Linked DNA regions of Saccharomyces cerevisiae S288C. Changing the gene in region 4 together with the main gene of any one other region gives a genetic interaction. Each region holds a gene or a part of one and is shown on either strand. Other genes may lie near its edges.

Region 1 (8,302 bases), on a different chromosome or scaffold from region 4:
GGCATCTAGTGTTTTTCTGAGTCTTCGTGGAGTGTTAGGACTGCGCAACTTACATACTTTCAGGCCATGCTCGTCCACAGAGGGAATAATGGGTTCTTCATTCGTAATAGATCGATCCTCTTCGTCACCAGCGCCACCACGGGGACCCGCCCCGAAATTGAGTGCACATGCTCGCAAGATAATATGCAAAATATCACCCAATCGGTCCTTTTTGTTCATCATATCGTTACATATCTGTGAAAAGTACTTTATCTCAATGGGTTTACGTGGGCATAGATCACGCTTCAGCCGCTCTGTGTCGACTTTCTTTTCGCCAGGTAAACTTGCTTGCATAGCTCATCTACGTGTAGGCTGCCAAATTGTACCCATATTTCCTTATGGTGCTTTTCTGAAGACTCCTTACAATAGGTGCGCCGGAAACAAAGTCAGTGAAAGTACGCATCGTAGAGCTGTCGTTCGGCCTAGCACTCGCTATTTCGTGACAACGTTCCAGGACACGGAAACTCAACTCATTATAGTATCCTCTGTTGAGGTAAAAAAGAGAAAGGGTATCGTAATCCTTTCTATTGAATTTCAAAGTATGCACTTGAAACAACGTGTAGACCATCAAGTTGATTTTCTTGGGAACAAGATACTTTGAAGGGATTGGTCCGCCCTGGAAATCTGGTTCGTCTTCAACAAACGTCAGGAACTTTTTTACATTTTTCCCGACCATGACGGAAATGACAACTTTTTCAAAAGACCTTTTCCTATCCATTGCACCAGTTCTGAATTTTACCACTTTGATTAGGCCAGACTTTTCGTCTTCGTAGAATGACCGCACTTCCGTGGGGATCGATTCAAATAAAGTTATTGAGGGACAATGTACCAAGTCGTTTTTGTTATTTAGAGCCGACTCAAACTCGTCAAAGTTTGCTTTTTCAAACTTACGCCTATCGGAAACTTTCATTTTATTTTTGTAAGTTTCGAAATTAACAATAGTATGTTGATTTTTATGCTTTTTGACAAGAAATCCATCAATATAAACAAAAGATTGTCCAGTTTTCGTCTTATCATCATCTAAGAATGTAATAATTAAGCTATTGAGAAGATGCAGAATCTGCGCTATGCAGGTGCAGCAAAAGCAAACAAAATCTCACTAAGATAAGCGACTGTCTGTCCCCTTCAAGCACAACATAGAAAACAGAAGGATGTCTCATTCATCGCTTGATTTCCGGCCTGCAAAAATAAAGTAGTCGGTACGTACTTTCGTTTTCAATTTCCATGGTGCACAGTATCTTAACTATCTGCTTAGTCGAGGAGAACCAGGATTCTGTTCGTTGCTCAGCCGCTTCGTGGATATTCTCTTGGATACTTTAAACATGGACCTACGTTCCGCTCTCGAAAAGACCAATATAATAAAAAGTTATAAATTACATTTCCTTATTAGGTATACGACCTCGCGCTTCGAAGTAGAGGAGCCCTTTTTGGCGTACCTACATATGGCGCGTCAGACAGACAAACTTCCCCCAAAAATGTATTACCCCGCCGAATAAGAAAACAGACCCATTCACCAACGACGTATCAAGTTACTTCCTTGGTTTGCAATGTCCCACTATAAAAAAATTCCTTGACGCTAGATCTTTGGGCTAAAATCTGCGTCAAACAGGAAATATTGCCTATTTTCGTACAAGGTTACTTCCTAGATGCTATATGTCCCTACGGCCTTGTCTAACACCATCCAGCATGCAATAAGGTGACATAGATATACACACCACACCCACACCCACACCCACACCCACACCCACACCACACCCACCACACCCACACACCACACACACACACACCACACCACACCCACACACCCACACACCACACCCACACACACACACACACCTAACCCTAACACTACCCTACTCTAACCCTGATCAACCTGTCTCTCAACTTACCCTCCATTACCCTACTCCCCACTCGTTACCCTGTCTCATTCAACTATACCACTCCCAACTACCATCCACCTCTCTACTTCCTACCACCAACCCACCGTCCACCATAACCGTTACCCTCCAATTACCCATATCCAACTCCGCCACCACTTACCCTGCCATTCCTCTACCATCTCCCATCTACTACTCACCATACTGTTGTTCTACCCACCATATTGAAACGTTAACAAATGATCGTAAACAATACACATATACTTACCCTATCACTCTATACCATCACCACCACTTGCCACACTCACCTTCACTTGTATACTGATATGTCATACGCACACGGATACTACAGTATATACCATCTCAACTTACCCTACTCTCATATTCCACTCCACTCCATGGCCCATCTCTCACTAAATCAGTGCCAAATGCACTCACATCATTATGCACGGCACTTGCCTCAGCGGTCTATACTCTGTGCCATTTACCCATAAATCCCATGATTATCCACATTTTAATATCTATATCTCATTCAGTGGCCTCGAATATTGTAAAAATGCTCTTAATACATACGTTATATTACTTTTGCACCATATACTAACCACTCAATTTAAATACACTTATGCCAATATTACAGAAAAATCACCACTAAAATCACCTAAACATAAAAATATTCTATTCTTCAACAATAATACAAAAACATATTGACTTGGAGTATGAACACTACCATGACGTCATTAACGTAAAAGTTCCTTAATATTGCAGTTTGCTTGAACGGATGCCATTTCAGAATATTTCGTACTTATGCAGACCATACATTAGAATAATATGCTACCTCACTGTCGTAACACTCTCCATTCACTGTGCTATAATATGGTACTGTGTTGACACTCATGCGGGTGCTATGATAAAATTGTATCCTATTTCCATTCCCATATGCTATCCGCAATATCCTAAAAGCATAACTGATGCATCTTTAATCTTGTATGTGACACTACTCATACGAAGAGACTATATCTGAACAAGACGATACTGTGATAGGTACGTTATTTAATAGGATCTATAACGAAATGTCAAATAATTTTACGGTAATATAACTTATCAGCGGCGTATACTGAAACGGACGTTACGATATTGTCTCACTTCATCTTACCACCCTCTATCTTATTGTTGATAGAACACTAACCCTTCAGCTTTATTTCTGGTTACGGTTACACAAAAACTATCGCAACCCAGAAATTTTGATATTTTCAGTGTCAAAAAATGAGGGTCTCTAAATGAGAGTTTGATACCATGACTCCGTAACTCGCACTGCCCTGATCTGCAATCTTGTTCTTAGAAGTGACGCATATTCTATACGGCCCGACGCGACGCGCCAAAAAATGAAAAAAGAAGCAGCGACTCATTTTTATGGAAAGACAAAGTGCTGAGAAGTCATGCGCTTCCAATTTCATTATTGTTTATTGGACATACTCTATTAGCTTTATTACCATCCACCCTTTTTCTAGAATAGTGTAAAAGTTTCTTTTTATGTTTATCGTATTCATAAAATGCTTCACGAACACTGTCATTGATCAAATAGGTTTATAATATTAATATACATTTATATAATCTACGGTATTTATATCATCAAAAAAAAGTAGTTTTTATTTTATTTTTCATTACTTTTTACTGTCTATGAATTTTCATTCGTAGAGGCACTCGTCCCTAGTTTGCGATAGTGTAGATACCATCTTTGGATAGAGCCTTGGAGATAGCTGGCTTTAATCTGCTGGAGTACCATGGAACACCGGTGATCATTCTGGTCACTTGGTCTGGGGCAATACCAGTCAACATGGTGGTGAAGTCACCGTAGTTGAAAACGGCTTCAGCAACTTCAACTGGGTAGGTTTCAGTTGGGTGGGCGGCTTGGAACATGTAGTATTGGGCCAAGTGAGCTCTGATATCAGAGACGTAGACACCCAATTCAACCAAGTTGACTCTTTCGTCAGATTGAGCTATAGTGGTGGTTGCGGAAGCAGTAGCAGCGATGGCAGCGACACCAGCGGCGATTGAAGTTAATTTGACCATTGTATTTGTTTTGTTTGTTAGTGCTGATATAAGCTTAACAGGAAAGAAAGGAATAAAGACATATTCTCAAAGGCATACAGTTGAAGCAGCTCTATTTATACCCATGCCTTCATCAGTCATCACTATTTAAACGATTCGTTAACAGACGCTCATTTAGCACCTCACATATCCTCCATATCTCATCTTTCACACAATCTCATTATCAGTATGGAAATGCTCTTGTTTCTGAACGAATCATACATCTTTCATAGACTTCGTATGTGGAGTATTGTTTTATGGCACTCATGTGTATTCGTATGCGCAGAATGTGGGAATGCCTATTATAGGGATGCCGGGGTACCTTGAAAAACCCTTTTGCGCGCCTGTGATTTCCGTTTTCGGTCAAAAAGAATATCTGAATTTTAGATTTGGACCCTCGTACAGAAGTCTATTGTCTAAGCCTAATTTCAGTGCTTTAAACGGCTTCCGCGGAAGAAGCATTTCTATCTCTTGAATTCGTACAACATTAAACGTGTGTTGGGAGTCGTATACTGTTAGGGTCTGCAATTTGTGAACTCTCGGCGAATGCCTTGGTGCAATTACGTAATTGTAGCCGCTGAAGGCGGATGGTATTGAGAGAAGTTGATGTTCAAAGTATCGTGTATGATAAAAATAAAATTGTAACCAGTTCGTAGTAGCAGTATTAAAACTTTGCACAGAGGGAAATATTTGATTCCGAGATGTAATCCCTCTTTTCTAGCCAGATATGAAGGAGAAAAGTGTAAGGGTAGTAGAGAGCGCTACTTTATTTTATTTTATTTTAAAAATGTTCTCTAGGAAAGGTGTATTAATAGTTGATAAAAAAAGTATTTTGTCTTCTATGTTCATAATTTCAATTCTTGAATTTTGGAAATCGTGAAATGCTTCGAGAAACCGCCTTCAATAATTAGAAAACAAAATAAAAGATTACAATTAGGCCACTCAAAAATACAATTCAGATAAGAAAGGAGCGATAGTGGGGAGTAAGAATTGGAAATACCCTTGATAATCAGGGAAAACTTAAGGAACGGGGTGTTAAAAGTCTGTGAAGTATAGATCAAACTCGCACTAGCTAGCAATACTCATGAGAACCCATGTGAGTCTAAAGCTGTGAAACTTCTTTAGAAAGCAGAGCATCCTCTAAGTTAACAGTTTTCCATACTTATTCAGTATGGATCAAGTTCCACAGTTTGTCAACTTCTGTAAAATAAACTTGTAGTGCTTCTTCGATGAAAAGGGATAGAATCTTTAAAAGACTTGATCTTGGCATTTTTATCCTCCTTCAAGCAGAATGGCTCCAGTAGAGTTGTTCTGAACGCTTCTGGGCAGTGAGCAGCATTGAAGAAAAAGTACTCAGCATTCCAAGCTTTGTTTTCATATAATTATAAATTAAAACTCATAGCCACCAATTTCCAGGTTTTGGTCGCAATATGCTGCAGAGTCAATGGCTTGTTTCATTACTATACTAGTCCGACGGAGTTTACTTTACTCTAAATTTTCTGAAATAGAAAGGCCACACGCCATACAATTAACAATAGTTCATTTAGTTGAAAGGTTTCCGAGATAGAAAGTGCGGTAGTGGAGAAGAACAATAAACGTATCAAACTTTGCGCAGTCATGGAATTTCCAGGAAACATTTTTAGGTTTTCATATGACAGCAGTTCCTGTCCGAGAGCTGTGCCTTTCTTGTCTCAGCTGACTAAGATGTCTCGGATCCGCCCGGCTGACGCGCGGCTCCGTCTAGTGGGATAGGCTTTCAACACATAGAAAACCCTTCAGATGATGAGAACACATCGAATCCCAGAGAGTAATATCACTAAGAATAAAGCAACCATGATAGACGATATTACTAAGTGTTCCTCAACAGATATTGAGAAAAGTTCTTATAAAGCGGGCAGGCTTTTTTCTATTTTTTTCTTTTTCTTTATCTAGCTTAAGATCTTTCTAACCATATTCTATAAAATGGCAAGCTGAATACAGATTATCAACGACAATTACAGATAACCTACAAACATGCAAGTTGCAATTCCAGAAACCATGAAGGCTGTCGTCATTGAAGACGGTAAAGCGGTTGTTAAAGAGGGCATTCCCATTCCTGAATTGGAAGAAGGATTCGTATTGATTAAGACACTCGCTGTTGCTGGTAACCCCACTGATTGGGCACACATTGACTACAAGATCGGGCCTCAAGGATCTATTCTGGGATGTGATGCTGCTGGCCAAATTGTCAAATTGGGCCCAGCTGTCAATCCTAAAGACTTTTCTATCGGTGATTATATTTATGGGTTCATTCACGGATCTTCCGTAAGGTTTCCTTCCAATGGTGCTTTTGCTGAATATTCTGCTATTTCAACTGTGGTTGCCTACAAATCACCCAATGAACTCAAATTTTTGGGTGAGGATGTTCTACCTGCCGGCCCTGTCAGGTCTTTGGAAGGTGTAGCCACTATCCCAGTGTCACTGACCACAGCCGGCTTGGTGTTGACCTATAACTTGGGCTTGGACCTGAAGTGGGAGCCATCAACCCCACAAAGAAAAGGCCCCATCTTATTATGGGGCGGTGCAACTGCAGTAGGTCAGTCGCTCATCCAATTAGCCAATAAATTGAATGGCTTCACCAAGATCATTGTTGTGGCTTCTCGGAAGCACGAAAAACTTTTGAAAGAATATGGTGCTGATGAATTATTTGATTATCATGATATTGACGTGGTAGAACAAATTAAACACAAGTACAACAATATCTCGTATTTAGTCGACTGTGTCGCGAATCAAGATACGCTTCAACAAGTGTACAAATGTGCGGCCGATAAACAGGATGCTACAATTGTTGAATTAAAAAATTTGACAGAAGAAAACGTCAAAAAAGAGAACAGGAGACAAAACGTTACTATTGACATAATAAGGCTATATTCAATAGGTGGCCATGAAGTACCATTTGGAAACATTACTTTACCAGCCGACTCAGAAGCTAGGAAAGCTGCAATAAAATTTATCAAATTCATCAATCCAAAGATTAATGATGGACAAATTCGCCATATTCCAGTAAGGGTCTATAAGAACGGGCTTTGTGATGTTCCTCATATCCTAAAAGACATCAAATATGGTAAGAACTCTGGTGAAAAACTCGTTGCCGTATTAAACTAGATGACGAACAGATATTATTTTCTTTCATATACATAGTTATTACGTTTAGTTATAGTGACTTAGTTTTTTTTTTTTTTTTAATGAAATTGTTTGTTATTGATCACCCCTTGTAGGGGCAACAGATGAGCACAGTGAAAATCATAACTCATTATGTGATTCGTTGTGAGTAACCCTTCCATGATTATATATCCTAACTATCTACTATCCAACTACTACATATCTATTGAACTCATATGTACCAAGCACATAAATTTATGCACCCATTTCCATTGGCAAAGACTTGGCGAAATTTAATACACTGTAATAATATCCGGCGAAGCTCTTTAAGTATTCTTACCTATAATGGCGGCTCGCTGTCCGAACGATTGCGCCGCACTTTTCTGCCTCTTACATTCCTTTTTCCTAAGGCGATAAGCAGGCTGAATGGAAACTACAATATATTGCAATAGAGCTTCCCCAAGGAACTCCCACTTTCCTTGGATTATTACAAAGAGAGTTTTACCTTTTAGGTCATTCTCACAGCAGATCCAAATATGTAGAACCTGTTTTAGAACAACAAATAGAAATGATGTGTTACAGAGTACCGTTTAAACTGAGTCATCACGTAATATTCTAATTATGTTTTTTTTTTTTAAATTAGCTAATGTAAACAGGCTGGAATGTATGGGAACTCATCACTTCGTAACTGATTCCATCTTCTATCTACCATAACTTTAAAAAAGATTATCGATAGTCTAAAAATACGCGATACACATTCTTTCTTCGTCCGTTAATGATAAAGCTCTTTTTATGTTAATGTACATGGGTTGTCAAACTACCCTTCCCAAAAAGACAGCACAAAATATATATTTATGCCGTGCTATTCTATGATAATATATTGGCTTTCACCTAATGGAAGCCCTAGCGAAGATAACCTTTTTCATACGACTTTTGGTGGGAAAGAAATTGGCATAGTCCCAAGTACAATGTTGTTATTATGTAGGAGCTTAATCCGCAGATCATACACTCTATCTCAATTCTTCGTATTATAACGCTCATGATTAATTAGGTCCTTCTGAGTTCTATCTTTTCTCTCCGAGACAATATTATGCAAATTTTAACCAAGCAGTTTCTCTTAAAAAATAGATAGCCTCTGGAATAACCAATATGGCTCT
Region 2 (8,073 bases), on a different chromosome or scaffold from region 4:
CTGCACTTGTTTGGAGAGTTCAAGGACTTGAATTTGGCATCACAATGCTTCTGGACCAAAGAGGTCAGTTTCTCAGAATCCATGTCGGGGACGGTTCTAATGGAAAACTTACCGAAGACCTTAGCTGGAATGACAGTCTTTGCACCTTGAGCGGAAAAGGCGCCTTCCACACCATGAATGGACAACGAAGGATACCTCCATCTGTGCATCAAGATGTCTTCCTTCTTGTCGTACAAACTTGTCTTAGAGCCAGTTGCAGCGTTCAATTCTTCGACGCTAAATTCGATATCCTTGTATAGAGCCTTCTCCTTTTCGGTTAGAGGAGCAACCATTTCGTCAATACCGTCAATCAGGATCTTACCCTTAGAATCCACAAGGGAACCGAGAACTTGCATTAAATCGATCATTGGTTCAGCAACAACACCACCAAAGATACCAGAGTGTAAATCTGCACTTGGACCCTCAATGATGGTTTGATAGTAGTTGCAACCTCTTAGACCATAAGTCAAAACAGGCTTCTTAGTGCCTAGCCAGTAATTATCGGAAATACAAACGGCATCTACACCTTTAAAGTAACCATTAGCTTCCTTTTTAATCAATTCATCCAATTTCAAAGAACCACTTTCCTCCATTCCTTCGAAACAAGTAACTAAGTTAACGGGGAATTCTTGTCCGGAGGCTTTGAAGGCGTCCACAACGTTAATCCAAGATAATAAGGGACCAGTGTCATCGGTGACACCCCTTCCTTTCATGATACCTTTAGCCTCATCAATGACAAGCTTGAATGGCTCAGTATCCCAACCATCTTCCAATTGAGCAGGTTGCACATCATAGTGACCGTAAACCAACACAGTCTTTTTTGAAGGGTCGCTGCCGAACCTAGACAGAATCACAGGAGGTAGAGACAGATTTGGCGTAGAAATTGGTGGAGGTTGAATGCCCAGATCCACCATTTTAATGTCATGGAACCCCGATTGTGATAATTGCTCGGAGATAAACTTGGCCTTATCGAAGACTTTGGACCTTAGTGATTCATCCGAAGAAACAGCGGGGATTTGAATAGCCTTAGTCAGTCTGCTGAAGAACTGAGGCTTTAAAGAATCAATCTTTTGGAAAACGGAAGTAAGTGAGTGAGACATGCTTGTGTACGATGCTCTGGAGCAACTGAACTAACAATGAAGGGAGATTCAATTGATAAGAACAACATGTTGCTATTATAGTCTCTCTTTTTTTTTTGACACATTTTCTTGTAGCCGTTTTGAATGACGAATATAAGGGATATTGCTAAAATATGCTGTGGCATTGGTCAACTTAAAAGAATACGAATACTTATTCTAAAAGATGTGCTCGAGTATTTAACCCACCGATTGGCGCACAAAATGTGTTGTGGAGTTATCAATCACTCGAGGGATTTAATCGACTTCTTGTTTAGTTCGCCTTCGCTAGTCATAATAAAATCGACTTATTAATCCAAAAATTTCAAACTTTCTTGTCAACATAACTTCTGGAAAGGGTGTCAGAGGTTTTTCCTTCTTGCGTCTGCTGATTTTATTAGGTTGTTTAATTTAAAGGGCTTTGAACAGAAGTGGGAACTTCTTCCGCCTTATTAAGCTATTTTTCAATCGAATATAATTGAAAAAGTAATTGCTCTCACAGGTAGTCGAATCGTAAAAAAAGGGCAGTAAGAACAGCACCCGACATGGCTAACCAGGTAAGTAGTAAACTGTTTCGTTCCAAGACGCTAATGCTATTTTATTAACGCTCTCTTTTTTCTCGTTTGCAGAACTCTGACCTTTACAAGCAAATCACTGCCGGCAGTGTAGCTGCTGTGTTTCAAACGACAATGACATACCCATTTGAGTACTTAAAGACTGGTTTACAATTGCAACCGAAGGGTACCGCTTTCGAAATCATTTTACCTCAGATTAAGTCGTACTTTGTTGGCTGCTCTGCCCTAAACGTGGCCGCATTTGGTAAGACTATTTTAAGGTTCGTTACGTTCGACAAGTTATGCCACTCCCTGAATAATAACATTGATAATAATGATAATTTTCAAAGACTGACTGGTTATAACCTTTTGATCGCTGGTACGTTGACAGGAATAGTAGAAAGTTTGTTTATTATCCCTTTTGAAAACATAAAAACCACCCTTATCCAATCGGCGATGATCGATCATAAAAAATTAGAGAAGAATCAACCTGTAGTTAACGCAAAGGCAACCTTTCACAAGGTGGCGACTAAATCTACTCCTGTGGCTCGTATCGAGAAACTACTTCCAGCGGTAAAACACATGTATCAAACAAGAGGCCCTGCTGCGTTCGTCCAGGGAACAACAGCCACCATATTTAGGCAGATAGCTAACACCTCTATTCAATTTACTGCATACACAGCATTTAAACGGTTGTTACAAGCAAGAAACGACAAGGCATCCTCAGTAATAACGGGGTTAGCCACATCTTTTACACTCGTGGCAATGACTCAGCCCATTGACGTCGTAAAAACAAGGATGATGAGTCAAAATGCCAAAACTGAATATAAAAATACCTTAAATTGCATGTATAGAATATTTGTTCAAGAAGGCATGGCCACATTCTGGAAGGGCTCCATCTTTAGGTTTATGAAAGTCGGTATTTCAGGAGGCTTAACGTTCACTGTTTATGAACAGGTTAGTTTGTTACTAGGCTTCTCTTCCAGGTCTTGATAATTTTGTGGATCTTTTACTCTTTTCTGTACATAAATTGCCACTATTTAATTATTTTCTCTACGGTATCTTTTTTAGAACAAATAACTTTCAATTCTTGATTGAAGTTCTAAGGGAAGCAATTCGTGCGCGAGCTCAAACATATCATCAACGTTATTGATAATACCCATATCGATAAACGAATCTACCAATTCCTGTTTTTGTAACGTGCCGATTTTTTGTTTCAAGAAATCCATTATATTTAAAGATTCCTCCTGTATAGTAGACCACGTTTGTTTCGGCAATATTATCCTATTCTCATTCAAAAATTGCCTTGTAAGATGTTTTAGATCCATTATTTGCAGCGGTTTTATAGAAGAACGTCTCACCGCAGGGACATTTAAACGGATAGGATCGTTGCCTATATCATCCAAATTTTCGTCACTGGTGTTTTCAAACGAATAATCTTCGTTTTCTGCTTCTTCTGTCTCCTCTTTATCGTCGCTTGGTAAATCTTCAGATAGTGGTTCTTCCTGTTGCGTTATGGAAATTGGTACCGGATCACGTACTGGCGGTTCATCTACCTGATCCATTCCAATGCTTGGCGACGTGCGCAAAACTTCCATAGAGATACTGTTAGCTTTATCTGGAGAGTGCACTGTCAATTCATCCTCGTGTCCTGTCGTGGGAACATCTTGTATTATTATCGGGTCAATCTTCCTACTTTTCAAGCCTTTGTCTCTTTCCTGCAATTTTGCAAATACTGTTTGCGATAAGGAAGTATAATCAGGTTGCGTTTCATTGCCAATGTTGTTATCTGTCAGTTTCTCACTTCTGCTCCGAAGAAGCTCATTCTCCTCTGGTTGGCTCTCTTCGTACGCTAATTCATCTATTAGATTCCGTGCTTGAGTTTTATTAGTAGTTGTATCGTTGCCTTGTGATTTGCGTGCTAACACTTGGCTTAAGTCTTGTAAAAAACTTCGTACTTCGTTCGGATCTTTATTGAGGATGTCATGAGACTTAGTAGAAGCAGATAAAAGTTTTCTATAACCTGGCGTATTTCTGATCAGTACCTCATCCTTGAGACGTTGTTCTTCAAGGGCTCTCTCCCGAAAGGGGGTTCTGATCTCTGAGACTTCTGTATTCTCGTTGTTACCGGCGGCCTTCCTGGGAGTGCTCATTATTCATTTCTTATTTCGTTACTAATCGTCGTGTGTGTCATTAATCGGTAACGCGTAGCTTCTTAATCTTATTTAGAATATGTAAATAAAAAAAAGTAAAAATCGAAGCCTAAGCATTTTCAATGAGCCAGTTTCAATGAGAAATCAATCACTGGTGTGCCTTGATGAATGCTACTAGTGCTGTAAATGTCAATGTCATCGCACAAATACTCCTCGAGGTTGTCCAAATTCAAGCCTCCACTACATTCCAAGAGGAAATGCTTTTTACCATTCCATTTGTTCTTAAGACTTTGGGCGCACATTTTCAAACCGTCACCTTTGAAATTATCCAACATGATAACGTCTGCACCAGCTTCAATGGCCTCTGTGGCTTCATCTTCACTCAAACACTCCACTTCGATCTTCACAGCAAACCCGCACACGGCCCTGGCGTTCTTAACTGCGTTTGTTATAGAACCAGTAGCCCAAATATGATTATCTTTGAGCATGACCATAGAGGAAAGGTCGTATCTGTGCGTGTCGCAGCCACCTACAAGCATGGAATACTTTTCTAATCTACGTAAACCTGGTGTAGTCTTTCTTGTCCCCGCAATGGTCCCCTTGTAACCAGTCGAACGCGCCAAACTGATTATCTTATGTGAGGCGGTGGCAATTCCACTACTTCTACTAAGGATGTTCAAGGCGGTTCTTTCAGCTAATAGAATGTTTTTAGCGGGCCCAGTAATTTTAGCTACAACAATCTTACCAGAGTCATTCTTCGAAGGCTCCAAGAAGGAGCCTTCCTTAAACAACCACTCAACTTGCAATTCGCACTGATTAAAGACTTCTTGCGCAAAGGGGACACCACACAGCATACCATCCTGCTTACAGTACAAATTGGCCTCCTTTAGGTCGGAACCAACAACATATCCACCAAAATCAAAAGAAGGAACGTCCTCGCTCAGCCAATTGGTGACGTCTTGTCTCCATGCTCCATTAACGGGCAATAAGTGTTCATAAACAGGCATTTTTTTTTTTTGGTGTGTGTTCTTTCTGAGGATTGCGTTCTTTTTGTTGCGTTATTAAGTGGTGTCTTTAATTTTCGAATTTATGGCCCAAGATATACGAAAACTGCGGTAGGAGTCATGATAAATGGGGGCTCTTCAACCAACCGGCGTCACCAAAAGCAAAAATATCCTGGAGCGAAATATCACATTGTTTGTAACCAAGCTTGTACCTTTGACAAGTTAACTTACGTCTTGCCGGGGTTTGCTACTACGCATTCAAGTATATAAAACGTTGTGACACACAAGTTGATAGAAACCTCAGGATGTATAACTACAATTCTAGTTTCCATCTCATTAGTCCCAAATGACAATAAAAAAAATTACTGGCCATGGAAGATGACAAGCCGAATATTAGCTCCTTCGATCGAACTGTGCGTGGAGAAGAAGCTACTACTATTTAATAATTAGTATCCCGTGATTTTGAGCTGTCGCTGGCATTATGTACCTGACATTAGGTATTTAGGAAAGGTAGGGTAGATCAGTTTAGTACCTCAATGGGTGCGGAAGGTTAATCTTGAAAAATTTGCGATTAGTAGACAAGTTTATTCTCACAAGAACAAAATATTCAGTTCATTTCAGATATGATCGTGAAGGTGGAAATCTTTTTTTTAAAAATGAGAAGTGTGCCCAACAAAGAAGTAAAAGACAAGTTAGCTTTCTGTCATGCTTGAAAACTTTATGGAAGCCTGTGCATTGGCATTAGAGGCATCTCCGACAATCAGAAGAACACTTCTTGTTATTATAATTACCCATATATTTTTTTTTTTTTCAAATTGACTACTAGGAAAAAGTGACAATTTATAGTAAAACTGGCTAGAAAAACCTACAAGAAAAACAAAACCAGGTTAGGCATACATTAATACAAGATTATATCAATCGGAAGTTCGTATGCAAAATTGCATATGGAGCAAAGGAAAGGACTTCCATTTAAGACGACAGTATGAGTTATAAGGCTAACCAACCATCTCCTGGGGAGATGCCGAAAAGGTCACCTTCCATCCTGGTGACAGATGCAAGAACATCCAAGAATAGAATGAGTGCACCGTTCGCTGGACACGCTGCTGGTAGTAGGAAGAATATGGAAAACGCAGGAGTTACGAAGTCTCAAGGAGTTCGCTCTTCCGCTATTGGCCCTTCTCCGCTGCAGAGTTTTACTCATCCAAGAAGGCGATCGTCTGGCAGGTTTAGCGATATATCCATAGATAATATTCTTTCTGATAATTCAGATATTCCCTCTGCCAGAAGAGAGGAAAGGCTATCCAGCTCTTCAAGCGATAGGCCTCGCCAATATGAGCGGTTAAGTTCGCGTAGAAAGATGATCAATCCCCTGCCTCCAAGAACATCGAAGACGTCACAAAAGTTAGTGTTGATACCGGAAGACGACAACTTGAACCACTTTCAAACTCTACCAACGAACGCGCTGGATAGGCAAAGACCGAAAGTGGGCTCTATGAAGTCTAATTCCTTCGATCGGCTACCTCGATACTCAAAAGAAAAGTCCATGGCAAGAATCACCGCATATAATGTTGCTGATGGCTTCAATCTCAACCAATTGTATAAGTTTCTGCAGGAAACTCATGAGGTTTCACCAAGATTGTATGATGAGTGTCTATACGTTGCGTATACTTTGCCACTTCTACCAGGTAAAGGCGGTTTTAGAATCAAATCAAATTTATCTAAGAAAACAATGGGTGGAAAGACATTAATTGATAATTTAATTGATACAAGCGAACAGAGAGATCATCATTATGAATATTACTCAGGTGTGGAAACTGTGGAAGATGCAAATAATAATTACGAACTAGAAACCAGTGGAAATAACAATAACGCTAATCAAGACACCACAACAGTTCCCGATCATCTACCAAATCCAGTTGGTCAGCAAGACTCTTTTAATCCTATGGAACCACAATTTTTTGCGGAAGAAACTCCCTTAGAGATAGAGAAACGGGAAAGGACAGAAAGAATAAACATGCTGAAGAAGGAGGAAAACGACAGTGATGCAAGTTGTGGCAACGATAATAATAATAAAAATAATGATAAGAGTAAACTTTATGCTGTTGAGGGAAACGATCAGTATGTACAGTCCTCTCGTTCACCAGCTTCGCCATCATCAATATCTACGCCATCGCCACCATCTTCATCACAGAATGATTTTGATCGTGTATATAAAATGCATAGGGACAACGACCATGAAGGCAATGATAGACATGCAGAAATTTTCATTTTTCACTATGGCGTTATTGTTTTTTGGAACTTTACTGAAATTCAAGAGAAAAATATTCTTGGTGATATAACATTTGCAGATTATAAGAATTTAATGATCCGGCCGCTGGATGAACAAGATATTGAAACTGAACAATTCCATTTCGAATATGACAGAGATACCGAGAGACCGAGAATTTTCAATGATATTGTCACATTACGTTCAGGTGACCACATTATCGAGCTGACACTATCACATGCGATTGCGCAATCTTCGAAATTATCAAGGTTTGAATCCAGAATTTCGCCGATTTTAATATCAGTCACAAAACTACCTAAAAGACTAGCATTATATGGTACCCTTGGGTTAAAAAGGGAACAGCTTTTGAAAAAATCAGGGAAGCTCTTTAAATTGAGAGTGGATGTTAACCTTTCATCCACCATATTGGATACACCCGAGTTTTTTTGGTCGTTCGAACCAAGTTTGCATCCACTGTACGTGGCAATGAGGGAGTATTTAGAAATTGACCAAAGAGTACAAGTATTAAATGATCGTTGCAAAGTTTTCTTGGAATTCTTTGATATATGCGTTGACTCTGTTGCTGAAAGAAACATGGCTCGTGTTACATGGTGGTTTATTCTTGTCATTTTATTTGGAGTTATATTTTCATTAACAGAGATTTTCGTTCGTTATGTAATTATTCATCGTCATACTTCTACATAGATATTCATACACCCTTCTAGACGGCATTAAAAATAAATTAATGATATATTTAGTTATCAAGGTTTTTAGTCATATATTTCACCGTTATTACCATTCTTGGTCACGTGCAAGTAAAACCACTCGTTGATTGGCTCCCCTCAAGATTGCATTAAAAGTACAATAATATGACTAAGGGACTCGAATATGTAAATTCATCTTTCGCATCAACAAAGGAGAAAAAGACGATAGTGAAGACTA
Region 3 (8,748 bases), on a different chromosome or scaffold from region 4:
GAGAAAAATCCTGCCATAGTACAAACCGCACGAAGTTCTGATCTAAATAAGGAAAACAGTCGCAACACAAATATATCTTCGAAGATTGCTTCGCTGGTAAGACAGAAAAGAGAACACGAAAAGAAAGAATGATCAAAAAATAGAAAAATAAAAAAAAAAGCATTTGACAATGTTTGTAAATAATATAATATGAAAGTAACTACTGAACAAAAACATTAAGGATAACATTTCTACGTAGGAAAATAATGTATACCTAAATAACGACACCAATAATAACAAAAATCACGAAAAAAAAAAGCTTACATGTCCACTAATCTTCGCCGATCGGTATTTCGTCTTTTAAAATTCTATTTAACTTAACCTTGATCTCCGTCTGAGAGTCTCCTCTCAAGATATCCGACACAAACCAGACATCACAATCCAGCTGCACCATTTCAAGTGACCCTTTCAAAACACCACACAATATATTGGAATACCAGAGCGATTTCATAGCGTCCATGGGTAACTCCACAAAGTCAGCCAATGGGTTTTCATCCAAAATCAATGAAAAAGTATCCTTGTTATGCGACCAGTTCGTTATGTTGGGTGTGATGTTTAAAAATATTTTGAATGCACACTTACTTAGTACTTCGCTTGTCTTCACTAAATTCTCACAGCGTGGCAATGCCGTTCTAGCCAAGAAATCCTCAATAAGTCTACACCCAATATTATATCCCATGCTATACAAATGATCATTCACTTTGTTAAAGTCCCGTTCATAATCTTGGCACAATTGTGCCACTATGGACCCATATGTTAGCGTAAATAATTCTGTATTAATTTTTTCTGTTTTATTTTTCCAGATCTCTTCTCCCATGGCCTTCAAAGACCTCGATTGCGTGGTAGAAACCATTTTTGACCCAGTTTTGGTTATCAATGAACACTTGAAGCTTTACTCTGCATTCCCATCTCTATAGCTATGGGTAATCACAGCTACGATCACTTACTCTGTTATTATTATATTAAGTTCAATGTTGGCCAAACCGGGTAACATGTAACACTTTCAGGTTGGCCTTACCTTTGGCTTGGAGTTTCGCAAGTTTTCAAATTTTTGGCTCCTGCTGTCAAGGTGCATAGAATAGCGCTTATTTATCTATTTATATCCAAGATGTACAATCCTCGTTCTCTGAGTCCAACATATTTGCTCGCAACTGTAGAAATCACAACTACAGCAACAGTAAAGATATCATTTTCTATTTTCGTTATTGGTTTCTCGACCTTTTTATATACGATACGTCAAACTTGAATCATTTTATACGTTTTTCTCTTTCTAGAAATGCCATTATGCACGTGACATTACAAATTGTGGTGAAAAAAGGCTCTCATAATAAACTGTGAACGGACTCATAATGAAATTTGCTTCACTATGTGAATCATCGCTAATAAACTCGCTACAAAAGTCGAGTATGCTTAAGTCAAAAAAATGATATATATATATAATTTACTTATGTGTTTCTGCAAAGTTGTAGGCTTCATTTAGAATTGCTCAGATATTCCATCCCAATTAAAAAAAGCACGGATAGAGTGATAAATAAACTAAGAAAATTTCAAAAGAATGGTACGAGACTTAGTGACATTGCCTTCATCACTGCCCTTGATTACTGCTGGTTTTGCTACTGATCAGGTTCATTTGCTTATTGGTACAGGGTCCACGGACTCAGTAAGCGTTTGTAAGAATAGAATCCACTCCATTTTGAATGCTGGTGGTAATCCCATAGTAGTGAATCCCTCGTCACCAAGCCATACTAAACAATTACAATTGGAATTTGGTAAGTTTGCAAAGTTCGAAATAGTAGAAAGGGAGTTTAGGTTATCTGATTTAACTACTTTGGGGAGAGTTCTGGTATGCAAGGTAGTGGATAGAGTATTCGTAGATCTACCCATAACACAAAGTCGCCTATGCGAGGAGATCTTTTGGCAATGCCAAAAACTGAGAATTCCCATAAATACATTCCACAAACCAGAGTTTTCTACCTTCAATATGATTCCTACGTGGGTCGACCCAAAAGGAAGTGGTTTACAAATCTCAGTTACTACGAATGGGAATGGATACATCTTGGCAAACAGGATAAAAAGAGATATAATATCACACTTACCTCCAAACATATCTGAGGTGGTGATAAACATGGGGTATTTGAAAGACCGTATTATAAACGAAGACCATAAGGCCTTGTTAGAGGAAAAGTACTACCAGACTGACATGTCATTACCTGGATTTGGCTACGGCTTAGATGAGGACGGTTGGGAGAGCCATAAGTTTAATAAGCTAATTCGTGAATTTGAAATGACCAGTAGAGAACAGAGACTTAAGAGAACCAGATGGTTATCTCAGATAATGGAGTATTACCCGATGAACAAGCTGAGTGACATCAAGTTGGAAGATTTCGAGACTTCATCTTCTCCAAATAAAAAGACAAAGCAGGAAACTGTCACAGAGGGTGTAGTACCTCCTACCGATGAAAATATTGAAAACGGTACAAAACAACTACAATTATCGGAAGTGAAAAAAGAGGAGGGACCTAAAAAACTAGGGAAGATTTCTTTAGTCGGAAGTGGTCCAGGCTCGGTATCTATGCTAACGATAGGTGCATTACAAGAAATAAAGTCTGCAGATATAATACTGGCAGATAAACTGGTACCGCAAGCCATTTTAGATTTAATACCTCCAAAAACTGAAACCTTCATAGCCAAAAAATTTCCCGGTAATGCAGAACGAGCACAACAGGAATTACTAGCTAAAGGTTTAGAATCGTTGGATAATGGATTGAAAGTAGTCCGTTTGAAGCAAGGTGATCCGTATATTTTTGGCCGTGGTGGCGAGGAATTTAATTTCTTCAAAGATCACGGATATATTCCTGTGGTTTTACCGGGCATAAGCTCATCCCTAGCTTGTACTGTATTGGCTCAGATACCCGCTACTCAACGTGATATAGCAGACCAAGTGCTCATATGTACTGGGACTGGGAGAAAGGGCGCTCTGCCTATAATTCCTGAATTTGTTGAAAGCAGAACCACCGTCTTTCTAATGGCACTGCATCGCGCCAACGTTCTGATCACGGGATTATTGAAGCATGGCTGGGATGGTGATGTCCCCGCTGCAATTGTCGAGAGAGGATCGTGCCCTGACCAGCGTGTTACTAGAACTCTTCTTAAATGGGTACCAGAAGTCGTGGAGGAGATTGGTTCAAGGCCCCCCGGTGTCTTGGTTGTAGGCAAGGCTGTGAATGCATTGGTTGAAAAAGATCTGATAAATTTTGACGAATCAAGAAAATTTGTCATTGATGAAGGTTTTAGAGAATTTGAGGTTGATGTAGATAGTCTATTTAAGTTATACTAATATGTATATAAAGACAAGATATCATTCAAACGCTGACGTTAAAGTTTTAAGGTTAATCGTGTATGCATTATGTTCTAGATTCATCAACACTGGATATTGAGCAAAAAGGACGTATCCGAGGCCCGAAAAGGTCCTTCAACCAAGTCGTCAAAATATTGGCAAGCCAAAAGAGCAGCGAGAATGATTGGCAAACGGTTTTTCCAAACAACAAGTAAAAAGATTGCTTTTGCATTCGATATTGATGGTGTGTTGTTCAGGGGCAAAAAGCCAATTGCTGGTGCCAGCGACGCATTGAAGCTGTTGAACCGAAATAAAATTCCATATATTTTACTCACTAATGGTGGAGGGTTCTCTGAAAGGGCACGGACAGAGTTTATCTCGAGTAAATTGGACGTTGATGTATCACCCTTGCAAATTATTCAAAGTCATACTCCTTACAAGTCCCTTGTTAACAAATATTCAAGGATCTTGGCCGTTGGTACACCTTCCGTGAGAGGCGTTGCAGAAGGCTACGGATTTCAAGATGTTGTTCACCAAACGGATATTGTAAGATACAATAGGGACATTGCACCATTTAGTGGGCTATCTGATGAACAAGTGATGGAGTACTCAAGGGATATTCCAGATTTAACCACTAAGAAATTCGATGCCGTCTTGGTATTTAACGATCCTCATGATTGGGCTGCCGATATACAAATCATCTCAGATGCAATCAACAGCGAAAATGGGATGTTAAATACCTTGAGAAACGAAAAGAGTGGCAAACCTTCCATCCCCATTTACTTTTCGAACCAGGATTTACTGTGGGCCAATCCTTATAAATTGAATAGATTTGGACAAGGTGCCTTCCGCTTACTAGTTAGAAGGCTTTATCTCGAGTTAAATGGTGAACCCTTGCAAGATTATACTTTGGGTAAGCCTACAAAGTTGACTTATGATTTCGCTCATCATGTTCTCATTGATTGGGAAAAAAGACTAAGCGGGAAAATAGGCCAATCTGTGAAGCAAAAACTGCCACTCTTAGGCACGAAACCTTCAACTTCTCCATTCCATGCGGTTTTTATGGTAGGTGATAATCCTGCAAGTGACATCATTGGAGCTCAAAATTACGGTTGGAACAGTTGTTTGGTGAAGACAGGTGTGTATAACGAAGGTGATGACTTAAAGGAATGTAAGCCTACCTTGATCGTGAATGATGTATTTGATGCGGTTACTAAAACGTTAGAAAAGTACGCATGAAAGACTACTATGGAATATCTTTTCCTGCCTTTGAGCTGTACTGTTATGATAGATTTATTAATAGCTTAAACGCTTTTACAAAATATATGCAATATACATAACGGGTTAAATAATGGGTTGGGAAATTGGTAATCACGGTATAATGAGTACCTGTTTTCTTCTATTTAAAAAAATAAAAACTACCAACTCTTTTTGGTAAAATTAGTAACCTACCAAAGTCAATCGATCAATGCATCTAAAAAAATTCACCTTCACCAAAGTAGACCAATTGACGTCATTTACTGAAACGAATGTGCAGGGTTTACAAGTCATCTGAAATGCTGTCCAAATTGATAGGTTGACCAGGCTTGAAAGCAGGAAGACCCAAGTAGGGACAACCACTACATCTAAAGGCATCCCCTAGAGAACAAGAACCACAGCCGCCAACTTTCTTCCCATCGATAGTGAAATCAATCTCGGTCAACTCGTCTTCTGTAAATTTGACAACTTTATCTTGTTGAGATCTTATATCGTTTATTTCATTTTCTTCCTGTTCTTTCATACCACAGGTGCAATCTTTACAAGCCTTCTTCTTCTTAGTTTTGGATTTACCGCATGTAATCATAGTAATCATTGACTTACCAGAACCATCCTCGTCGATTAATTCTTCTTCTTCAATGGAATCATCGCTGGTATCCACTTGATCAAAATATTGGGCTTTGGAAGAGTCACTAGAGAAATCATCATCATCGCTATCCTCAATCAGGTCGTCTACGACTCGGTAGACTTTTGGTTCAGTGGTCATTTTGAAACTAGGTGGTTTGAAGCTGTCTGTTTCCTTAACTATAGGTTGCCTACTGTGATCTGCTTTTTTGAATGAGGGTAAATTAGAGGTTGAAGAACTAGCTTTTTTAAAAGTTGGTAGCTTACTACCACTCTGTAGCTTAGTATTGTTCGTTTTCTTTTTTTTCAGTGGTATAGAAACAGTTTGGTTTAGTTTAGAGGAATCCATTTTAATCCAGCAATAATCTGGTTCGTTAATTATTTCAAACCCATTGATTAATGCATCTACTTTATAAATATCACTTAAACCAATTAGTGAGCCGTTTGGTTTCAATGAGTCAGCTAAGACAGAAATTAACTTTTTCGGAAACTTAATATCAGTCTGGGCTTCTGGCGTCAAATAGTGTACTGTTTCATATTTTGCGTTTTCCAAAGTTATGGACCCATCATTTAGTTTATTGATTAAAAACTGGTCCACGAACTTGACTTTCTTTGATGCAGCTTGAGCCTTAGTGTTCTCTACTAGCTCTGGCGTTGTAGTCACCGCCGGATGTATTAAAAGTAAACCAGTTTTGTATTGTGACATCGATACCTTCACTTACAGTGTATATGCTTAGATCAAATGTGATGAAAGACTTCTGCTTAGAATACCTTTTTAATATGTCATGAAATTAAATGATTACTAATCATTTCTTTTTTTTATTTTTTTTTTCCAGAAGCTTTTGAATAGTATCGGACTTATTCCGGTACCGGGATATGTCAAAAAAAGAAAAATGAGAAACGAATAGATATTTACCCAGAAAGTAATGAATGTATTTAATGAATTACTGAATTATTAAAATTAGTAATAAATAGCGGTTTATATGAAGAGCTCTATGTACGCTAGTATGGCATTACATACCTACTGCAAGTAAAAAAGGAAAAAAATTTGTGACATTTTGTAAATATGCTGCGTGAATTTGCCTAATGAGTATTTTTCCAGAAATTACAAAACACAAATAAGTAGAATGTGTTTAGTGTATTTGTAATTCATAGACTATTTATTGATGCTTATCTATTATACCTGGGGTTTCTGCTTCGTCCTCGTCCTCGTCATCATCGTCGTCGTCGTCGTCGTCGTCGTCGTCGTCGTCGTCGTCATCGTCGTCATCGTCATCATCATCGTTGTTGTTTTCGTTCTTATCTTCTGTATCTTCTTCTTCGTCGTCGTCTTCTTCCTCATCCTCATCATCGTCCTCTTCCTCGTTATTTTTTGGGTACCCACCCAATTTCATAACGATTTTGTTAACAATCTCATTCCAGTCCATCATACCCCCGAGACCAATATCACCATTTATATCCATAACTTTCTCAGACGGCTTGAAAACAGTGACCCAGGACATTTCCTCCTTTATCGTTTGTAGTTGCTTCTTTGTCATCATAGAATTAAAAGTGCTACTCACCATAGAAGGTGCCAAAAGAATGGGATAACTCGGATTCCAAGCTCTAATGACACTTGTCAGAAGATTGTCGCACAGGCCCAAAGCAATTTTTGATAATGTGTTTGCAGTTAATGGAGCTACTACCAGTATATCCGCCCAGCGACGTAGTTCTATATGAAGTACAGGATCAGTTCGTTGTTTCCATGCGTCCCATTCATCTTGGTCGGTCCATAGTTGAATATGTGGGGGTAACTCGACTACTTGAGCCATGTTGCATTGTCCTGGTGTTGGTGTCACTGGAGTTGCCGGAGTGGATTCGTACTGCGACATTTTATTTAGTTTTTCTGAAGATTTGATAATTTTCTTGGTATATCTTTGTTCGAAAAACTGTGTTGCTGATTGAGTGAGGATAACTTGAATGCTTATTCTATCACGTCCATATATTTCTTCTAGTTTTTTAATCATTGGCTTGATCTTAAATACCGATAACGAACCTGTAGCGCCAAACAACACGTGCAATTTTCCATCATCTTGAGGTAGTCTGGGATCCAAATTCTTGGAGTTCTCTCTTTTGGGGATGATGGAAGGAATGACGGACTGCTTCACTGGCGTTTCTTCCGGGGTAGAACGCACATTAATTTGGCCTGAAACATTGTTAGCTTGATCTTGTGCATCTTCCTTTCGAAGTGTAATACTGGTGGGGGCTTTGGCGGTTACCTTATTATTTTCTCTACTTATTGGCGTTGAAGTGGCCATGATTTTGTCAGGCTTCATGGTATCAACTATTTTAAGAGCACTGTCTTTTTTCTTAGGATCATAATCTTTCATTTCGTTGACGAGTGGAGACCCAGATAATTGCGTTGTTCTTGAAGTGTTGGTGTGGTTCGGTATAACTGCATGATTGCCAGGAATGGAATTTGAGACAGGAGCAGGATTACTATTTGGAGACTTGGTCCTTTCTGAGTCGTTCTTCAGCTGAGTCAGACTATCCTGCTTTTGCTGTTGCTTTAGATCACTGAAAGTGACGGCGGGGACTCTCTTCAAACCAGGCTCCGGAGTATTACTTACTACTGCGCCGGAGGTGCCGGTGGCATTCATAATAGATTTCGTAGTCGTGGTAGTAGCATTCGACAAAGTAGGGCTTATTGATTGCCTCCCTGACACGGGGGAGTTGATTATTGAATCCTTCCCCTTCGCATCCTCATGGTCCAACAAAATCTCTTTCTGTCCACGCGAAAACCTTGGACACTCTATAGACTGGTTATGGTCAGCATCTTGCTTCCCGCTAGTAGAGGCGACGGCAGTCATTGCTGTTTGCTTCTAGATCTTTCTTCCCTATTAATTTTTTCCTAACTAATATTTCTTTATATTTTATCCCGGAATATAAAGTAGTATGACAGCAAAGAAGGCCAGGCTAAAAAAAGATCTCTCCAAATGTAACTGGACGGCGCTGATAAGTGGACAAGTACAAGTGAGGGATCGTGATCCAAGAGCACTCTGTGACTTCTTCTCCTCTAATATCACCTCCCCAGAAAAGCATCGATGCCATTTTTTGCAAGAGAAAAAGTTGCGTGCGTCACTGCCCACGAGCACATGGGGTGAGTTATATAACATAAGAATATTGCTTTGACTCATGTTAAAAGCAAAAGAAAAAATAATAATGATCATTAGAGATACATCAAAGACGATCATGGCATTAACCCAGGGTACGTGTGTTAGATATGATAGGGTACCCCGCGCGTATAAGTTACGCCTTGAATGATATAACACGTTAAAGTTTCTAGATCACGTGAATCATTACCATTTTTTAGGTCATCCTACGGATAATGGCGAAACCACATAATTGCTTTGTAGATCTCTTTTTATGCTGGATGGATGGCCCTCTGGAATGCATCCTTCACGAACACAATTTATGAAACCTCAGGTTTGATGCTCCGGAAAGCCTATTTC
Region 4 (7,828 bases):
TTTTTCAAATCAATCCAAATGTTATTAGTGTTGACAATTCGACACGTGCTTGCACTTTCATTGGATAAGCAGTTGTAATAAACCGATCGTAGTTTACCTTTATATGTTGCCAACACTCCAGTGTTTGAAACATTTGCAGTCCTTTCAACTACTTCAACAAGATACTCGATTTTTTCATTTATGATGAAATTTAAAATGTTCAAATCTCCTGTAGCGCCCAAATTGTCAACATTTGAAACAAATAAAATCTCTTTTCCTTGAGCAATTAATTTGTCCAATTCTCCTGAAAAATACAAAGTGTCAGTTAGGTTACCAGTCCCGCAAGGATACCAAAAATCATTTTCATGAGAATTTATTTGTAAATCGATAGGTAATAATCTATCTTTATCAATTTGTGGAAAGCTTGACTGAACTACGGTTTTCCATCTCACTTTGCTAGAAGAATAATGCTCTTCAAGGAAGTTTGATACTTGAGATTCAGTTTCAAGCGAGGTCATAAATATAAGAGGAACGTCTGAATTATATCGTACATTCAAATTTTGCGTTTGTCGAACTATTACATCCAATGAAGACATCCCATTTTTTACTTCGAATAAAGGGCTTTCTTTACCAATGATTGGATTAGCCTTTCCGGTTAATTTTAAAATAGCTAACTTTGATAATAGTTTACCCTCTAACAAACCGTAATTTTTAATATCATCGAGTTCAACCACTTCATCAATTATCGGTAATCTAATTTTGTCACAAACTAGATCATGGGTGATTGAAGTATTTTCTAAGACATATCTTTGAAAAATGTGCAAAAATAGGCTAAACTCATAATTCTTGTCACGTATCGAAGGAAAATGTTTCTGCAAGGCCCTTATCATTTGTGACATAACAACATCCTTTCCAATACCTTCGAAAGTACCTTCAAACTCTATTTTATTTACTCCAGAGAAAACCGTCATTGATCTTGTATATACTATGTAGAACAGTGAAATATTTTTCCTTTTTTTTTTTATTATCAAGAATCACTTGTGTCAGTTATCGTTAAATTCCAGGTTACAAAAAGATTGTAAATGCCAGGGAAAATACAATTCAAAAAAGTTACAGTATAGTTATATTTAATTACTTAAATTTACTTTTTTTACTATAAGGTGCTATTCCTGCATTCTTTTTTTAATTAATCAGGACTTATAAGCTGATAGTACTTTCATTCTTTTTTTTTTGTGTGATAAGGCCATTGAACATTATGGAAGACTAACTACTTTTTCTTCAAGAAAATTGTGTGCTTCTACTCTCGTTCAATACAGGAAATTTTAATTCCAACAGAGTGGAAATTTATGGTTTTCTTACCACAATAAATTTCTCAATTGTTAAAATCTGAAAAGTTGGCAGCCCTGGCCCTGTCAAAGAAAGTATTATTATGCGTCGCGAAATTTCTTTTTCTTCACGCCTTGTTTTTAGTTTGGGCATCTCGAAAGCATCTAATACAAAATCCAACTAAAGCACAGCATTCAATCTAGTAGAGAGAACAAGAGATATTCATCATGACCGGCATGGAATCAGGAGAGAATTTGGAAAACATGGAAGATATTTTGGCGAGACATCGCAAGGAAAATAAAGATTTACAGAATAAGATAACGGGTATGAAAAAGCAGGCTACTAAATCCAAAAGGAAAGAAGTTAATTCGAAATGCCTAGATCTTCAAGATAAACTAAAGACTAAGCAAGAAAATGAAATAAGGGATTGGAAAATTGCAAATAATGAAGTGTTTGACGCAGAACAAGAAGATGAAGTGACTCCTGAAAAACTTTTAGAACAACTATCCATATCTCGAGATGAGAAAGAACAACAGAATGTTCCCGTTCAACAACAGCAACAAGGCCAGACAAAGAAGCGTCGCAATAGACAAAAGGAAAGATTGGCCAAAAGAGATGCAGCAATTGCTAAAATGAAAGAAGAGGCTGCTTTAGAAGCATCCAAACAACCGGACTTGAAAAAAATGGAGCAGGAGTCTATAGATCAGTTATGCGAGTTGAAGAAACTGAAACAATTCGATATACAACCCGATGGCCACTGTCTCTTTGCATCTATATTAGATCAGTTAAAATTACGCCATGATCCAAAAAAACTGGATCAAGACATGGATGTCATGAAGCTGAGATGGTTGAGTTGTAATTACGTACAGGAGCACAGGGATGATTTCATTCCATATTTGTTTGATGAAGAAACTATGAAGATGAAAGACATTGATGAGTATACGAAAGAGATGGAGCATACAGCTCAATGGGGTGGTGAAATTGAGATTTTGGCTCTCTCTCACGTTTTCGACTGCCCCATTAGCATTCTGATGAGTGGAAGACCTATTCAAGTGTACAATGAATGTGGGAAAAATCCTGAATTGAAGCTAGTTTACTATAAACACAGCTATGCATTAGGTGAGCATTATAATTCATTGCATGATTCTTGATTTTTCCCATCCGTATCTAATGAGATATGCTTATTTGTAAACCTTAATGCATCTATTTAATTGTATAGTTTGAAGCATATGGATATAAAAGAATAAAGAGAAGTAATAATCGGATATGAACATTGGTGGAGGAAAATTTTTACTTGGGAGGATATCGAATAATCCAACTTCAGGGATAGTAGGGCTTGCTAATGTTGGTAAATCGACTTTTTTCCAAGCAATAACAAACTCAAAATTGGGAAATCCTGCAAATTATCCATTCGCTACCATTGACGCAGAATGTGCCAAAGTCAATATACCTAGCGTGCCGCTCTCTAATTTATTGAGAATATATCAGAGTGCGAAATGCGTACCTGGAACACTCACAATATATGATATTGCTGGGCTCACCAGAGGCGCATCTCAAGGCCATGGTTTGGGTAACAAGTTCTTAAACGATATCAGACACGTAGAGGGGATATTTCAAGTGGTGAGAGGATTCTTAAAGGAAGACATCACCCATATAGAAGGTAATGTTGATCCTGTCAGAGATCTATCCGTGGTACAAGATGAACTCATCTTGAAAGACTTAGAATTTCTGGAAAACATTAGGGAAAGACTTAGTAAGAAGATGAGAATGGTTTCGAAGAATTCTAAAGAACATCAGGAAATGAAGATAGAGACAGAATTATTAGATGCATTAGAGGAACATTTGTTTAACGGTAAAAAAATCCGGCATTTCAAAGATCATTGGAACCTGGATGAAGTCAAAATTTTGAATAAGCATAACTTTTTAACCTCCAAACCAACTTTGATATTGCTAAATGTTTCACCTCAAGATTACGTTAGGAATGAAAATAAATTTGTCAGAAATATTATAGAATGGATTAACGAATTTTCGCCAGGAGATAAATTCCTACTTTTCAGTGCAGAATTTGAATCGCAATTGATGGAATGTAAAGGCATAGCGTCAGAGTATTTTGACAAGATCAAGGAAGATACCAATGTTTCTGATCAACAGTTAGTTTCTGCGATACCGCAAATAATACTAGAAATGAGAAAGTTGTTGAACTTAATTAGCTTCTTTACATGCGGCCCACAAGAAGTTCACCAATGGAATATAAGGGAGGGAACCACCGCTCAAGAGGCCGCGGGTGTAATCCATAGCGACTTGCGTGAAACATTTATCAGCGCTGATGTAATAAAATATGACGATCTGAAGAAGATGGAACCACCGCTAAATGAGTCTTTACTAAAATCTAAGGGACTTATCAAACGTGCAGGCAAACAATATATTATGCAGGACAATGACATTGCCTTATTCAAAGCCGCCGGTGGGAAAATTAAGAAATAGTTTGTCATAAAAAATACTTGTAAATATGAATAGAAACGCTTGCTTTGTTTTGTCTTTTCCAATAATTACACAAGAATCAACAAAAGTATGAGATATATATATATATATATATATATATATTATATTTGCATAAGGTTTAACCACTGATAGTAAGACAGAGGTATATCGAGGAACTGTGTTTACCTAGAGTGGGCTGATTCTAATAGTGCAGCTATATGCGAAAATGAGAAAAAAGGAACCGCTGAATTCAATAATATATTTTGGTTAATGGACGAGAAAAAGAGGAATCTAATGGAAATTATTTCCAGTTAGAACCAGCTTAGTTGGAAGCAACAACAACTTCGACATCCACACCAGGTTCAATGGTGATTTGAGTGATTCTCTTAACGATTTGAACAGGAGCTTCCAAGTCGATGTATCTCTTGTGGATTCTCATTTCGTAGGTTTCCCAAGTCTTAGAACCTTCACCATTTGGAGTCTTTCTGGTGGAGATCTTCAAAACCTTGGTTGGTAGTCTGACTGGACCCTTCTTGACCAAGTTGTGTTGTTCAGCGTTCTTGACAATGTTGGAAGAGACGTTTTCCAATTGCTTAACCTTGGTGGAGGTCAAAGTGATTCTAATCTTGATGATTTGTTGTTGTTGTTGTTCTTGTTCTTCAACCTTTTCCTTTTGAAAGTCAGACATTTTGTATATACCTTTTTGTTTATTTTACTTGCTTTCTTGTAGGAGTTTCAATCTAAAGCTGAGCTTGAATGAAATAACCCATCTTTACTATTATTTTGAATTCAATACGGTCTATTACTCAATCTCTGAGGCTAGTCGCGAATGCGTCGAAGTTTTTTTTTCAAAATTAAAACATTATCGTTACCCGAACTTTATCTTCATAAAAATAGTTGTGGCATTTTTTCTCTTATGTTTACGGATGTAGAAAATGTACAGGTGTGAACTTGCAGGTAAACATTTTTACATTTTTACTTTTATCTTTTCCCCTTCTATAGAGATAAAAATAAGAAGTTTCAGGGAAATCTCTCTTTCCATAGTAAATAGTGTTAGCAGCAGACAAGACAAGAAGGATATCAATGACGATACGCATTTTTCCGAATGATCTGGTCAGATAATTCTTTTTTTCCCTTTATCGGGAGGTTTTGATGAGAAAACGATGTCAATAGTATTCTAGTCACAATAGGGAGCTAGACGGCTATTCAATCAGAATGCGACTATCCGGAGTTATCCTCAATGATAGACGTTTCTCCAGTTAGGAGCGCCAAGAATGTGTGAACAAAATGCACAAGGTGCAGATTTGGCGCTCTTTATCAGCGCTTCATACGGTAGATATGAACTTTAATTTTGAGATTAGCCAAGACCAAAGGTTCTCTTAAAGATGCAAAAGCAGTCATACAGGTATTTGTTTTATGCAGCAAGGCTGACTCAAACTAGGCATTCCAATTCTGTTTATCTATTGGTGCCGCACCTTTTTTCCGATGATGAAATGAGGCGGCGCACATTTGGGTGTTATCTTATCGGGATATTTTATGATAGCAAATGCGACAGACAATAATGCTCGAGAGTGGACAGGCCAATAGTCAGTTGCAGCATAGAAACAAGCAGGCGTACCTATGGGAAAGGTGTAACTCATCATTGCGCTTTCTACGGTACGGTTATCCTTAGATAACAGGCAAGATGTGCTCTATTCATCGGTGTTGCATGAAGATACGTCTTGTTCGCCAAGTATATAAAATGAAGCAGTAGTATAGCCGTAGCTTTACTATTGTTAGCAGTTTCCCTTGTCTAGATTCTTAAATTGGGTTCATCCAAGAAAAAGTAATAACATAAATTTGTCATTGTTATAGTATGGGAGAATTTAAACCTCCGCTACCTCAAGGCGCTGGGTACGCTATTGTATTGGGCCTAGGGGCCGTATTTGCAGGAATGATGGTTTTGACCACTTATTTACTGAAACGTTATCAAAAGGAAATCATCACAGCAGAAGAATTCACCACCGCCGGTAGATCTGTAAAAACCGGCTTAGTGGCTGCAGCCGTGGTTTCTAGTTGGATCTGGTGTTCTACATTGTTAACGTCGTCAACAAAGGAATATGCAGACGGTATATTTGGCGGTTATGCGTACGCTGCTGGCGCATGCTTCCAAATTATTGCATTCGCAATTTTGGCAATTAAAACCAAGCAAATGGCTCCCAATGCGCACACATATTTAGAATTAGTGAGAACAAGATATGGTAAGATCGGCCATGGTTGCTACTTGTTTTATGCCATCGCGACGAATATTTTAGTCACTTCAATGCTTTTAACTTCAGGTTCTGCTGTCTTTAGTGATTTAACCGGGATGAACACTATCGCATCATGTTTTTTACTGCCTGTGGGTGTTGTTGTTTATACTCTATTTGGTGGGATTAAAGCAACTTTCTTAACGGACTATATGCACACATGTGTCATTATCATCATTGTCCTCGTATTTGCCTTTAAAGTTTATGCGACTAGTGATGTTTTAGGCTCACCGGGAAAAGTTTATGACTTAGTTCGTGAAGCCGCCAAGAGGCATCCAGTAGACGGTAACTATCAGGGTGAATATATGACCATGACATCCAAATCCGCTGGTATTTTATTAATTATTAACCTGATTGGAAATTTCGGCACCGTTTTCCTTGATAATGGTTATTGGAATAAAGCGATTTCTGCTAGTCCCGCAGCGAGTTTGAAAGCATATGCCATCGGTGGGTTAGCATGGTTTGCAGTACCTTCTTTGATTTCATTGACCATGGGATTAGCATGTCTTGCGGTGGAAACGTCTCCGAACTTCCCCACCTATCCTGATCCACTTACTTCGTTCCAGGCAAATTCTGGGTTAGTCTTGCCGGCAGCTGCAATTGCTATCATGGGTAAGGGGGGTGCTGTGGCATCGCTGCTAATGATTTTCATGGCCGTCACATCTGCTATGTCTGCTGAACTAATTGCCGTTTCATCTGTTTTCACTTACGATATCTATAGAGAATATATTGATCCTCGTGCAAGCGGTAAGAAATTGATTTACACATCACACGTTGCTTGTATCTTTTTTGGTCTTGCCATGAGTGGATTTTCGGTTGGTTTATACTATGGTGGTATTTCTATGGGTTATATCTATGAAATGATGGGTATAATTATTAGTAGTGCAGTATTACCTGTCGTTTTGACCTTATGTTCCAAAGACATGAATTTGGTGGCCGCTGTAGTGTCGCCTATTTTGGGCACAGGACTGGCTATAATGTCATGGCTTGTCTGTACCAAATCCCTTTATAAAGAATTGACCGTGGATACTACGTTCATGGATTATCCAATGTTAACAGGTAACTTGGTGGCTTTGCTATCACCAGCCATTTTTATTCCTATTTTAACGTATGTGTTTAAGCCACAAAATTTTGACTGGGAGAAAATGAAAGATATTACTAGAGTTGACGAAACTGCAGAGTTAGTTCAGGCTGACCCTGATATCCAGCTTTACGATGCTGAAGCTAACGATAAGGAACAAGAAGAAGAAACAAATTCTCTGGTCTCAGATAGTGAAAAAAACGATGTTAGAGTAAATAATGAAAAATTGATTGAGCCTAACCTTGGTGTTGTAATAAGTAATGCCATTTTTCAAGAAGATGACACACAGTTACAAAATGAATTAGACGAAGAACAAAGAGAACTAGCACGTGGTTTAAAAATTGCATACTTCCTATGTGTTTTTTTCGCTTTGGCATTTTTGGTAGTTTGGCCCATGCCCATGTATGGTTCCAAATATATCTTCAGTAAAAAATTCTTTACCGGTTGGGTTGTTGTGATGATCATCTGGCTTTTTTTCAGTGCGTTTGCCGTTTGTATTTATCCACTCTGGGAAGGTAGGCATGGTATATATACCACTTTGCGAGGCCTTTACTGGGATCTATCTGGTCAAACTTATAAATTAAGGGAATGGCAAAATTCGAACCCACAAGATCTGCATGTAGTAACAAGCCAAATTAGTGCGAGAGCACATAGACAATCATCACATTTCGGA

The links.
Region 1: mutations in OTU2 (region 4) and YLR460C together harm fitness more than expected from each alone (negative genetic interaction), as found in Saccharomyces cerevisiae (one large-scale study listed by BioGRID).
Region 2: mutations in OTU2 (region 4) and MRX20 together harm fitness more than expected from each alone (negative genetic interaction), as found in Saccharomyces cerevisiae (one large-scale study listed by BioGRID).
Region 3: mutations in OTU2 (region 4) and MET1 together harm fitness more than expected from each alone (negative genetic interaction), as found in Saccharomyces cerevisiae (one large-scale study listed by BioGRID).

Annotation. Positions count from the first base shown.
Region 1 is NC_001144.5:1,058,603-1,066,904, reverse strand, and holds YLR460C (uncharacterized protein), read left to right. Parts: upstream 1-6,017; coding exon 6,018-7,148; downstream 7,149-8,302. Other genes in the region: YLR464W (uncharacterized protein), read right to left, coding at 1-333; YLR462W (uncharacterized protein), read right to left, coding at 341-949; seripauperin PAU4, read right to left, coding at 3,624-3,986.
Region 2 is NC_001138.5:240,299-248,371, forward strand, and holds MRX20 (Mrx20p), read left to right. Parts: upstream 1-1,699; coding exon 1,700-1,711; intron 1,712-1,783; coding exon 1,784-2,701; downstream 2,702-8,073. Other genes in the region: DUG1 (metallodipeptidase), read right to left, coding at 1-1,139; centromere-binding protein CNN1, read right to left, coding at 2,776-3,861; BNA6 (nicotinate-nucleotide diphosphorylase (carboxylating)), read right to left, coding at 3,981-4,868; RMD8 (Rmd8p), read left to right, coding at 5,848-7,836.
Region 3 is NC_001143.9:570,018-578,765, forward strand, and holds MET1 (uroporphyrinogen-III C-methyltransferase), read left to right. Parts: upstream 1-1,594; coding exon 1,595-3,376; downstream 3,377-8,748. Other genes in the region: bifunctional glycerol-3-phosphate/glycerone-phosphate O-acyltransferase GPT2, read left to right, coding at 1-132; TRAPP complex core subunit BET3, read right to left, coding at 311-892; YKR070W (uncharacterized protein), read left to right, coding at 3,557-4,615; electron carrier DRE2, read right to left, coding at 4,917-5,963; phosphopantothenoylcysteine decarboxylase complex subunit SIS2, read right to left, coding at 6,418-8,106; YKR073C (uncharacterized protein), read right to left, coding at 8,170-8,490. UniProt on the Saccharomyces cerevisiae protein: Siroheme synthase involved in methionine biosynthesis.
Region 4 is NC_001140.6:72,058-79,885, reverse strand, and holds OTU2 (deubiquitinase OTU2), read left to right. Parts: upstream 1-1,532; coding exon 1,533-2,456; downstream 2,457-7,828. Other genes in the region: YHL012W (UTP--glucose-1-phosphate uridylyltransferase), read right to left, coding at 1-950; YLF2 (Ylf2p), read left to right, coding at 2,572-3,789; 40S ribosomal protein uS10 RPS20, read right to left, coding at 4,109-4,474; YHL015W-A (uncharacterized protein), read right to left, coding at 5,104-5,187; DUR3 (Dur3p), read left to right, coding at 5,642-7,828.